Saccharomyces cerevisiae S288C: one gene and its partners. The gene in region 1 interacts genetically with each later gene. Each region holds a gene or a part of one and is shown on either strand. Other genes may lie near its edges. The genes, in order: BMT2, PIR5, CIN4 and DFP2.

Region 1 (3,167 bases):
TATTCAAAATGATGGACCGACACGAATTGAAAACTGAATCTGCCTCCACATCAGCATATGTTTTCAAATTAGATTCTATGGGAAGAACAAGTAGAAGCCTATCAAAAAAAAGATGCTTGGTCAAAGAGTATTCCATTGGGAAATTTTTTTTGTCTTGCGGATCGCTTTGATTCATTTTAGAAAGAGCCTTAATCTTGTTGTATGTTATATGCTGAAGAAGAATGTTAAGTTTGAAGCTCTATTTGCAGGGCAAAAGATGATCACTTGACTTTATACGCTTTCGTTAAATAGCTTAACCACGCGCTGAAAACTACTATGAGCCCAATGCCAATAAAATGATCAAAGGCGTAAATGAAACCGGTACTGTGTAATAAGCGGAAAAAAAAAAAACAGTTAATTGTTTCAATCGTAATACAAAGCGAAAACCTTTAGTATATTAGTTTTATATGAGCAGTAACTCTTGTTATTCTCCTTCGAACACTGTTCATTTGCTCATCTTTTACTTAACGTTTTTACACATCTTTCTATATTGTATCCCTTTATGAAAAACTTCCAGGCGGTGTCGGCTCGCTTAGAGGGTAATACCAAAATTGTTCAACCCAGGGCCGTCGTTAACCTTGATTCTTTTGGAAAAGCTACTCGGCTGCGGTGGAACTACCTGCAATTGATACAAACAATAGTACAACTTATTACTTTGATGGCTATTAAGCATTATGAGCCCGATAGAGCCGAGGAGGTTTTGTAACAGTGTTTTGTCGCAGTATCTTGAGTGCGTCACACAGGCTTGTGGCAGAACAATAAAGATGTAGCCTTGCGGCTTGAGAAATTTGACCATGCGATGGCACATTGCACCGCGATCCCTGTGATTTTTGACAAAATTTAGCACTAGAGAGCATGATATCAGGTCGAATTTGTCGTTTTCATTTCTCGGTAGCGGTCTTTCCATAAAATCCTGCTTAATAACGCCTTCATGTTCCTCTAAATCTATACGAACCACATTTCTAAAAAGTGCACAACGGGATATGCGATTTCCGGAGCTCAATGAACCAATTTCTAATGCCACTGCTCCAGGACAATTTTCAAATGAGGACCTGATCCATTTCTCGAGCAACTTGGACGTGTCTCCTCCTCGTTCCTTCAATTGCCCGTTTTGACTGGCAATTTGGTAAGTTTCTAGTCCTCCCAATTTATTAATCTGATTCATTATGTAACCAAGTAATGTGTACATCACAGCCAAGTCAGAAGTATCCTTTGATTTGGATTCATTTTTAATTAATGAGTGCAGCCTCAGTAGTTGTGATTCCATAGCATCATTGAAGGACTGCGATTTGCCGTCTTCATAGTACTTGCCCAGTCTTACATTACCTTTAATACTTAACCTGATAATTTTGTCATTCTTCTCCTCGTTGGAATCATCTAGGTTTTCCTTAAGGCATAAAAACTTGCATATCGATTGACGCTTATTAATTAAATGGTGGAATCTTCTTATTATCCTTCTTGTCTTCTGTGGCTTGATTACTCTCGTCACGTTACTTCCTACTTGCTTCCTCTTGCCCGTAATACTCTTCGACTTTCTTGAATGCATTCCGCTGTATTAGTGGTATCGCTAAGCTGATACAAGATTGCCATCAAGGTCATGGCTAGCTCATCGATATTATAATTGTTATATTTTTTTTCACCTCACAAACCCGCCTCAAGGTTAGTTAGTCCGTACTTTTCTTTTTCTCTGAAAAACTTTTCCAGCGATGAGCTTATAAGAATTTCCATCTAAAAAAGTTATATTCGCCAACCTGCCCATCATTATCATCATAACCTCAGGTAGAAATTCTTTAGTCAAATACCGGCATAATCAGTTTTTCCATCATGGGTAAGAAAAGGGCTCCTCAAAAAGGAAAAACGGTCACAAAGCCACAGGAGATAATTGTAGATGAATCCAAATTGAACTGGAAACCAGTAGATATTCCGGACACTTTAGATGACTTTGGTGGATTTTATGGCTTGGAAGAAATTGACGGAGTGGACGTTAAAGTCGTGGATGGTAAAGTAACTTTCGTCACCAAAAAAGATTCAAAAGTGTTAAAAGATAGCAATAAGGAAAAAGTCGGAGATGATCAGGAATCTGTGGAAAATGAATCAGGGTCAGATTCGGAGTCCGAGCTCCTTGAATTCAAGAACTTGGACGATATTAAAGAAGGAGAGTTGAGTGCAGCATCTTATTCATCATCCGACGAGGATGAGCAAGGTAATATTGAGAGTTCAAAGTTAACCGATCCCAGTGAGGATGTGGATGAGGATGTGGATGAGGATGTTTTGAAAGAAAACGTCTTTAACAAAGACATTAATATCGATGATATTTCTCCTGTAAATTTACCTGAATGGACGAATCTTGCACCTCTCTCAATGACTATTTTGCAGAGCTTGCAGAATTTAAATTTTCTCAGACCTACAGAAATTCAAAAAAAGTCTATTCCAGTTATTATGCAAGGCGTAGACGTCATGGGGAAAGCCTCTACAGGTTCAGGTAAAACTTTAGCCTATGGTATTCCAATTGTAGAGAAACTGATCAGTAACTTCTCTCAGAAAAACAAGAAACCAATATCGTTAATCTTTACTCCTACAAGAGAACTGGCGCATCAAGTCACAGACCACTTAAAAAAGATCTGTGAGCCTGTTCTAGCGAAATCTCAGTACTCGATATTATCTTTGACAGGTGGACTCTCTATCCAAAAACAACAACGTCTATTAAAGTACGATAATAGTGGCCAAATTGTCATCGCAACACCAGGTAGATTTTTGGAACTGTTGGAAAAAGACAACACTTTAATCAAAAGATTCTCGAAAGTAAATACGCTAATCCTTGATGAGGCTGATAGGCTGTTACAAGACGGTCATTTCGACGAGTTCGAAAAAATCATTAAACATTTATTAGTAGAAAGAAGGAAAAACAGAGAAAACTCCGAGGGCAGTAGCAAAATTTGGCAAACTTTGATCTTTTCTGCAACATTCTCCATCGACTTGTTTGATAAGCTATCTTCTTCCCGTCAAGTTAAGGATAGAAGGTTTAAAAACAACGAAGATGAGCTAAATGCCGTAATACAACACTTAATGAGCAAAATTCACTTCAACTCAAAGCCGGTTATAATAGATACAAATCCTGAGTCAAAAGT
Region 2 (3,292 bases), on another chromosome or scaffold:
GGTCTGGCATGCCTATATCTAGAATCAAATAGCTTGAATAAGTCCAAAGAGCAAGAAGATCCCCATGCCATCGCAGAAGACGACATTGTAAATATAGTCCATGACGCTCCCAATAGAATATTCAAGCCAGCACTTGATACCTATCAAGAGAAAGAGCTTGACTTACAAAAGAGTGACCTCCATAAAGTACTTCATTCTTTGACGTACAGTGATGTCTCTCAATTTTCGATTGTTTGGGGGTTTCTCATTCAACTTTCGAGCCTAATAGGCAATTCCACCTTAGGCAAAAAATCCATTCTTTATAAGGGAAGTGTCGTTAGTGTTTTAGGGTTCCCACCGTTGATTTATATGGCACTTAAACTTAGGATGAAACAGCTGGAAAAAGCTGGAGTGCGCTTTGAGTAATGCAGAAGGCAACATCTCCGAAAATAAAAACGATGAAGTAAATGAAAACTCGTTTGTGAATACGTAAAATTATAACGCGCCCCATACATAGTAAGACAGACTTACTTTTATACTATTATTTTAGTTATATTTTTGAAGTACAATCAAGACCTGCAAGATTATAATGTTGGTGATTCAACAATCGACGAGACCAACTGTTTGTAAATGAACGGGATTGCACTGGCCCCCGATAGACTGATCGTAAAGGTTATAGAAAGTGCCCGACAGACATTGGTAAAACACGTCATTATCACCAATAGCTAAAGTGCCATGCTTCGTTATCGACCAGCCGCCAGCGTAAATAGCGCCCGCCTGTGGAGGTGGACCATCAAATTGGAACTGTCTGTTTGCTACTATCGATCCAATTCTACCACTGGAGTCAATAAGAACACCTCCTTGTAACGTTATTGCCAAGGTGCCAGAACTTTTACAGGCTTGCACCTTGATCACTTTTTCATTATTTGGTTTCTTTGTTGGCTCTAACTTACTCTTGGAAAGCACAGAACTACTACTGGCTGAAGAAATAGTAACTTGCACTTGACCATCATGAATCTGAGAAACAGCAGTTGCGGTTGAAGTTGCTGTCGCAGTTACAGTTTTACTTGGAACAGCAATTGTGGACTTTGTGACAACATTTTTAGCTGTAGTTATTTGTAATTGACCATCGCCTATTTGTGACACAATATGTGACACTACTGGAGGCACCTTCTGCGTTGTAACTTGTATTTGGCCGTCTCCAATTTGCGAAACTGGATGAGGTAATTTTTGTGTCGTTACTTGCACTTGACCGTCATTAATTTGTGAAATGACGTTTCTTTTGACCTTACTTTCAGTAACGGTGAAAGGTATAACAGCGAGACCGAATGAGGTCCGGTACTCTGTTGTGCCACCATCCATTTTAGAGCTTGGAGTTAAAGTTGCCCAGGGTTCAGGTGGAGCGTACGCAGTTAGCGCAATACTACTTAATAGAGATGCTAGAAATGCTTTCTTGTAATGCATATTGGGGCGGTGTTCACTTCTTCAGTAAGTTGTATAGAATTAAAAAATCGAGACTAAACAGAAATTTCGAAACAAGAAGATAAGTATATGTATACAAGTTATTTTACTCTTTTAACTGTTTTCGTTTCCCCACTCTTTCGCAAAAAGAATAATTTTGTGAGTCAAAACAGTCGAATTTTCTTGCACAAAAAGTCGATATTCTTTTGTGACTCTGTGTAACTTACTTTCTACAGCTTTTGTTACTCCACTTCTCTTATATATACCCAATGATTCACTCGTAATATATCAGAGGAACGTTAGAATTTCTGTATTTTCTCAGGAATCCTACAAAATTAGAGGTGAAATTGATCAGGTTAAGGAGCAGAAGCCCACTATATAAGTAAGATGATATCAAGCCTAGTTGGATGCCTTCAGGAACGGCAAATAGGATATGTGAGCTTGGCAAAGGGGTTTTGATAGAGTAACAATAGATCCTTGCTAGCCAATGCGACGTTCCTCTGTAGTTTTTACCACAGTTTTACTTAATTTCGTGCTTTGTCCCTTTTTGGCAAAAAAGTCGGATAATGTCTTCACTATATTTGTGTTTTCGTCTTTTAGGAAAAGCGTACTTTAGTAAACTACAAATTTGAGCTGAGCTAATTTCGGATTAGTAAAAGATGCAAGGAACAGTAAAAATTAAAATAGCGATTGACCGAAATCAGTCCAAAAATTACTACAACAAGCAAATCCAATTAAAAACAGTAAAATACTTTAAGTGCATTTACCGTTACGAACAACATATGTCCTAGTTAGTATAGTAGTCTACTAAGTAGCAAAAAAGTAGAAACTCTGTCACTATACCAGCCATCAGTTCATAGTAAAACAGTAAAAATTGTAAAAACAAGCAAAAAAAAAACAAGAAGGAACAAATGCACCAAACTGTTGATCTATTCTGCAAAAAAAAGTATGGTAAATTTTTTCCATTATCCTGGCCGCTAATCCATATGGAGGTGAACTTAGAACTTGCACAAGGATGCGATGAATGATAGGCTTTGTGCTATAATTAATGCAGGCAGGTCCGCCATGTCCAACACGTTGCTGGCCGCAAAACGAGTCAATCTCACTGCTTTGCCACGCTCATTTCTCCCCCCTTCTGCCCAATTAGGCGACCCTCACAATGCACATACACATTTCCCACCTCTATTGGAAGGGGCCGTAAATGGTAATTCTTGGGAGTTATTCATATTAAGTGATCTTACTATTTCCTATTTCGGAAATTATTAAAGACAAAAAAGCTCATTAATGGCTTTCCGTCTGTAGTGATAAGTCGCCAACTCAGCCTAATTTTTCATTTCTTTACCAGATCAGGAAAACTAATAGTACAAATGAGTGTTTTCTCAAGCGGAACACCACATTTTGAGCTAAATTTAGATTTTGGTCAAAATAAGAAAGATCCTAAAAAAGGAATGGTTGGTGAAAAATTTATTAGCTTGAATGGTAGGAATCCTCGAGATATAAAAGGAACACTTGAAGTCTAACGACAATCAATTTCGATTATGTCCTTCCTTTTACCTCAAAGCTCAAAAAAATATCAATAAGAAACTCATATTCCTTTTCTAACCCTAGTACAATAATAATAATATAATGCAATACAAAAAGACTTTGGTTGCCTCTGCTTTGGCCGCTACTACATTGGCCGCCTATGCTCCATCTGAGCCTTGGTCCACTTTGACTCCAACAGCCACTTACAGCGGTGGTGTTACCGACTACGCTTCCACCTTCGGTATTGCCGTTCAACCAATCTCCACTACATCCAGCGCATCATCTGCAGCCACCACAGCCTCATCTAAGGCCAAGAGAGCTGCTTCCC
Region 3 (3,004 bases), on another chromosome or scaffold:
CACCAAACGAACCATGCCCAACTACTTCGGTGGTAGGGAAAGATATCTGCACCGGATCATTCGGGTCTATCGTAGGTGGAGGATGGGCGTAGTAAACCTGTTTTGACACTATGTTATTACTGAGATTCGGAGAATTATTGCTTTGAATATTCATCCTGCGCGAGTTCTAGCGTTGCGTGATTAGTGTTGCCGTGTTGTAATGTAATGCTATGTCAAGATCTTGCCCAGTAATGTGTGAATCAGACGTCGGTGGTTGGCTATTCTGGAAAAAAAGGTGTTAAAATGCAATGCGCCAGAAAGAAAAGGAAATAAGACAATGGCAACGACCGATTGGAAATAATCTGCTGGTCTTCCTACCACTCCTTCTTGTGTAAGATCTTCAATGGACCCGTGCTTTGTAACCCGCAAGCCTTACAGAACCCCTTGGTAGTATTATTATCCGGAGTGAGCAGAAGCCACGAATGCGCACAGTCGGCGGGTAATGAACTATCACGCTATAAATACTGACATTATTTAAAGTTTTTATATGGTGCTCACATCTTAGACGATTATTGGGTAAAATGGCAGGATTCCACCAGACGGTCACGCAGGTTATCAATACCTTCTCCGGTAACGCCACTACATTTGACGAGCTCTATTCGGATGTCCGGCTTGAACAGACACTTCAACTCGCTCTCTACCAGTAAACACCTTCGATGAAGCTCGGACTTGTCCTCCACTAAATCAATCTTGTTCAACACAACGATAACAGCACACTCGTATCCTATTCGATTTTCGTCTCTATTGATTAATTCTTTTAGTTCTTGCAAGGTTTCGTCAAACCGCATTGAAAGGCTCACATCTATACACCATATCATCGCTTGTGTCTTATCAAAATAGTTATCCCAAAATGGCCTTAATGTGCGTTGCCCCCCAATGTCCCATAGAGATATTGTCACATCTTTTATCATCAGACTATGTATTTGAAAACCCACAGTAGGCATTATACCATCGTTATTTTGCTCATCCTTGGGCAATAGTTTGTTTACTATCGTTGACTTCCCCGAATTGTCTAGTCCTAGAATCAGACAGCGAATTTCTTTGTCCCTGAGCTTCTGTTTCCTGATAATACTTAGTAGTCCCATGTATTCTTCTACACCTTAAGCTTCCCTCTTATTATCTTTATAAATTAGTGCGATGGCTTTTTAGATTTTGTCATGGAAACGGACTGAAAAAGTACTAGTAAAATAGCAATATAAACATAATCAAATACCTGCGTCAAAACTCATGTTAAGCAGCATACGCACTAGTGACTAATTTGGGTGGTCGGTTGATTATGTCAAGGAAATCTATAGTGCAAATAAGAAGATCTGAAGTAAAGCGGAAACGAAGTAGCACCGCTAGCAGTACAAGTGAGGGGAAAACTCTTCATAAGAACACACATACATCCTCTAAAAGGCAGAGAACTTTGACAGAATTCAACATCCCAACTTCATCGAACTTACCTGTCCGTTCCAGTTCATATTCATTCTCAAGGTTCAGTTGTTCAACATCCAATAAGAATACAGAGCCAGTAATTATTAACGATGACGATCACAATAGCATTTGCCTTGAAGACACTGCAAAGGTCGAAATCACCATAGACACAGACGAGGAAGAACTAGTTAGCTTGCATGATAACGAAGTCAGCGCAATAGAAAATAGGACCGAAGATCGAATAGTAACGGAATTGGAGGAGCAAGTAAATGTTAAAGTCTCTACAGAAGTTATTCAATGTCCTATTTGTCTAGAAAACCTTTCTCATTTAGAATTGTACGAAAGAGAGACACACTGTGATACTTGCATAGGCAGTGACCCGAGCAATATGGGAACACCTAAAAAGAATATCAGGAGCTTTATTTCTAATCCATCATCTCCTGCAAAAACGAAGAGGGATATAGCTACGTCAAAAAAACCAACAAGAGTAAAACTTGTTTTACCAAGTTTCAAGATAATTAAGTTCAATAATGGCCACGAAATAGTTGTGGATGGTTTCAATTATAAGGCCAGCGAGACTATCTCTCAGTACTTTCTTTCTCATTTTCATTCTGATCACTATATTGGACTCAAAAAATCTTGGAACAATCCTGATGAGAATCCGATCAAGAAAACACTTTACTGTTCTAAGATCACTGCAATATTAGTAAATTTAAAATTCAAAATTCCAATGGATGAAATCCAAATTTTACCCATGAATAAACGCTTTTGGATAACAGATACCATTTCAGTAGTTACGTTGGACGCTAACCATTGTCCCGGTGCAATAATAATGCTTTTCCAGGAGTTTCTGGCAAATTCGTATGATAAGCCTATAAGACAAATTCTTCACACGGGGGATTTTCGAAGCAACGCCAAAATGATTGAGACAATTCAGAAGTGGTTGGCCGAGACAGCGAATGAAACTATTGACCAAGTTTATTTAGATACAACATATATGACTATGGGATACAACTTTCCTTCACAACATTCTGTGTGCGAGACTGTGGCTGATTTTACATTACGGCTTATAAAACATGGTAAAAACAAAACATTTGGAGATTCACAAAGGAACCTTTTTCACTTTCAGAGAAAGAAAACATTGACAACTCATCGTTACAGGGTCCTATTTCTTGTGGGAACATATACTATTGGAAAAGAGAAGCTAGCCATCAAGATATGTGAATTTTTGAAAACAAAATTATTTGTTATGCCGAATTCCGTTAAATTTTCAATGATGCTAACAGTTTTACAAAACAACGAAAATCAAAATGACATGTGGGACGAAAGCTTACTCACCAGCAATTTACATGAATCATCCGTACATTTGGTACCTATAAGAGTGTTGAAAAGTCAAGAAACCATAGAAGCTTACTTGAAAAGTTTAAAAGAATTGGAAACAGACTATGTGAAAGACATTGAAGATGTTGTCGGGTTTATACCTACCGGGTGGAGTCACAATTTTGGTTTAAAATATCAAAAGAAAAACGATGATGATGAGAATGAAATG
Region 4 (2,497 bases), on another chromosome or scaffold:
ATGTAGTTTACTTTAGATGCAAATGCTATTATATATTTTGCTTTATGATCCTCGGCTTGATGCTCGCCAACGTGAGATAGCTGGTCATCACAATAGATCAGCCGGGACGCTTTTCGATCACATCGAATCCCTTCGGGACGTTGCAACAATACGTGAAAAATGCCTCAAAAATAATAAATACAATGGTGAACAACGTTAAAAAAGCATAAAACAGCTGGCTATTTTGATCAGGATAACATCTATAAGTGCCATATTAAGGCAAGATATCAATTGACCATGCAAACACCTTCAGAAAATACCGACGTAAAGATGGATACTCTCGACGAACCCAGTGCACATTTAATCGAAGAGAATGTAGCTCTTCCCGAAGACACATTCAGTTCACATCTGAGTTATGTACTTTATGAAATTGCTCATTGTAAACCGATCATGTTTATGATCATCATAATCGTGAGTTTGATCTCATTGATTGTGCTTTTTCATGATAACGACGGGTGCACTGTGATCTTAGTGATGTCCCTTATAGTAGCCTCCATGGCTTTAATGGTGGTTGCAGCATTCACATTCGGGAAAGCGATCACTGAACAGGAGTTCATGATAAAGCTTTTAGTGGAGGTGATCGCACGCAAGCCTGCGGGGAAGGAATGGGGTACTGTCGCATATAATATGAACCAATATCTATTCATGAAGAGACTATGGTATACCCCGTACTATTTCTATAGCGGCAAGAAGTGCCATGAGTTCTTCACCACTCTTATCAAGGAAGTGAATTCTGGTTCGCACTCGGATTCCTCATCGAATAGTGCCGAGGATACACAATCACCTGTCTCAGCAGGGAAGACTTCAAATGGTCTAAACAACTTTTATAGTATTAGATCAGACCCTATTTTGATGGCATATGTTTTGAAGGCAACACAAATAGAAAAGGAGGCTCAAAGTGAATACTGGAGAAAGCAATATCCTGACGCTGATTTACCTTGAAGCGGAAGCATTTTATTCACCAAGTATACTTACTTTTCTTTAAAACGAGAACAAGAATCGAATTCAAGAACATCTCGAAGCCAGAATTGAGCATCATATATTCGAGCTGTACAAACATCATGGCCTACAACTATCGTATTTGTAAGTTTTTTTAGAGGTTTTCATATTTGTTTAATAAGGGTTCTGTCAGTTTTTGTCACATTCTATTGTTGCGCTTCGCATAATGCAGCCAAGAAAATCCAAACAATAGAAAAAGAAAAAAAGGATCTCAAAAAGGGTTTGGTGTTGTAGTTATAAGAATAACTAGTGAATAAAAAAGCTGTTGTTTGGTCCGTATTACATTCGTCAAAAATTTAGTACTCAAATCGTGTATGCAATCGCAACCACAAAATAAAAATATTAGACTGGATGTGTTGAGTGGAGATGGTGCCAATTTAGTTGAGGGAAATGTGGTCCTTCCCAAAGACATGTTCAATTCGTACTTAAGTTATTCACTTTACGTGTTACGAGGGGGCTCATTGTAAGCCGATAATGATTATGTTCCTGGCATCTGTAATTTTGATTTCACTGACTAATTTCCGAGTATACCATCTCATGTCCCTTCTATCCTCTTTTTTCATCTCCGGGACAGACCGACAATAAAGCATCTAATATTAGGCTTTCGTTAGAGGTAAGCACACGCCAGCGTTCGGTGAAAGGGGAATGAAACATTATCACGTACAAGATGAATAAATATCTATTTGACCATAAAATATGGAGTACTCCTTACTACTTTTATTGCGAAGAAGATTGCCACCGTCTTTTTCTAAGTTTTATTGAGGGAAGAACTTTCGAGAAGCCAACAAGCAACGCTGAGGAAAATGTACAGGAGACTGAAGCTGGCGAATCTTTCACATTAAATCCCGGAGAAGATTTTCAAAATTGCTTTCCAAGACAGCGGATATTGTAGAACAATCTCAAGTGAAGTATTGGCAAGATATTGGTGCAATTATTTGAAAGGAAGGAGAAATATTCTGACAGTACCTTGCTAGCAAAGGGATTTACCAATCCACTGACGCTAAAATGGGGTAGTAAATTAGATAAATTGCATTCTAACGTGACTTTATATAGTGGGAAACAGATATGTAGCACACAAAACGGCATGATTATGCTTAATTGATTCCTATTTTTTAACGTAAATACTCTCCCAGAACGATCAGAAAACTTAACCCGCAACCATCTTTGCTGTGCTAACAACTTATGTCGCCTCAATACCATTTTTATTTTGTATCATTCCGGAACTTAGTATTGAATGAAAAATGCCTCCGAAGTAAAAAGCAGGTGATGAAAAGTTTCAATTGGTATAAGACAGATCGCTATTTTGATCCGCATAACATCCTTCAACACCATAGCAGAGCTATAGAGAAGACAAGATATAAACTGGGCATGCAAACATCTTCAGAAAGTACCGACGCCAAGTCGGATTTTCTCGACGAACCCAGTGCATATTTAATTGAGAAAAATGTGGCTCTTCCCA

The links.
Region 2: mutations in BMT2 (region 1) and PIR5 together harm fitness more than expected from each alone (negative genetic interaction), as found in Saccharomyces cerevisiae (2 studies listed by BioGRID).
Region 3: mutations in BMT2 (region 1) and CIN4 together harm fitness more than expected from each alone (negative genetic interaction), as found in Saccharomyces cerevisiae (2 studies listed by BioGRID).
Region 4: mutations in BMT2 (region 1) and DFP2 together harm fitness more than expected from each alone (negative genetic interaction), as found in Saccharomyces cerevisiae (2 studies listed by BioGRID).

Annotation. Positions count from the first base shown.
Region 1 is NC_001134.8:526,454-529,620, forward strand, and holds BMT2 (25S rRNA (adenine2142-N1)-methyltransferase), read right to left. Parts: upstream 1,586-3,167; coding exon 572-1,585; downstream 1-571. Other genes in the region: GTPase-activating protein IRA1, read right to left, coding at 1-175; MAK5 (ATP-dependent RNA helicase), read left to right, coding at 1,864-3,167. UniProt on the Saccharomyces cerevisiae protein: S-adenosyl-L-methionine-dependent methyltransferase that specifically methylates the N(1) position of adenine 2142 in 25S rRNA.
Region 2 is NC_001142.9:117,383-120,674, forward strand, and holds PIR5 (beta-1,3-glucan linked protein), read right to left. Parts: upstream 1,444-3,292; coding exon 580-1,443; downstream 1-579. Other genes in the region: FMP33 (Fmp33p), read left to right, coding at 1-405; heat shock protein HSP150, read left to right, coding at 3,067-3,292.
Region 3 is NC_001145.3:543,275-546,278, reverse strand, and holds CIN4 (Arf family GTPase CIN4), read right to left. Parts: upstream 1,125-3,004; coding exon 549-1,124; downstream 1-548. Other genes in the region: serine/threonine protein kinase RIM11, read right to left, coding at 1-154; DNA cross-link repair protein PSO2, read left to right, coding at 1,316-3,004. UniProt on the Saccharomyces cerevisiae protein: Implicated in yeast microtubule function.
Region 4 is NC_001133.9:184,616-187,112, forward strand, and holds DFP2 (DUP240 family protein), read left to right. Parts: upstream 1-1,705; coding exon 1,706-1,930; downstream 1,931-2,497. Other genes in the region: KTD1 (DUP240 family protein), read left to right, coding at 277-981; pheromone-regulated DUP240 family protein PRM9, read left to right, coding at 2,221-2,497.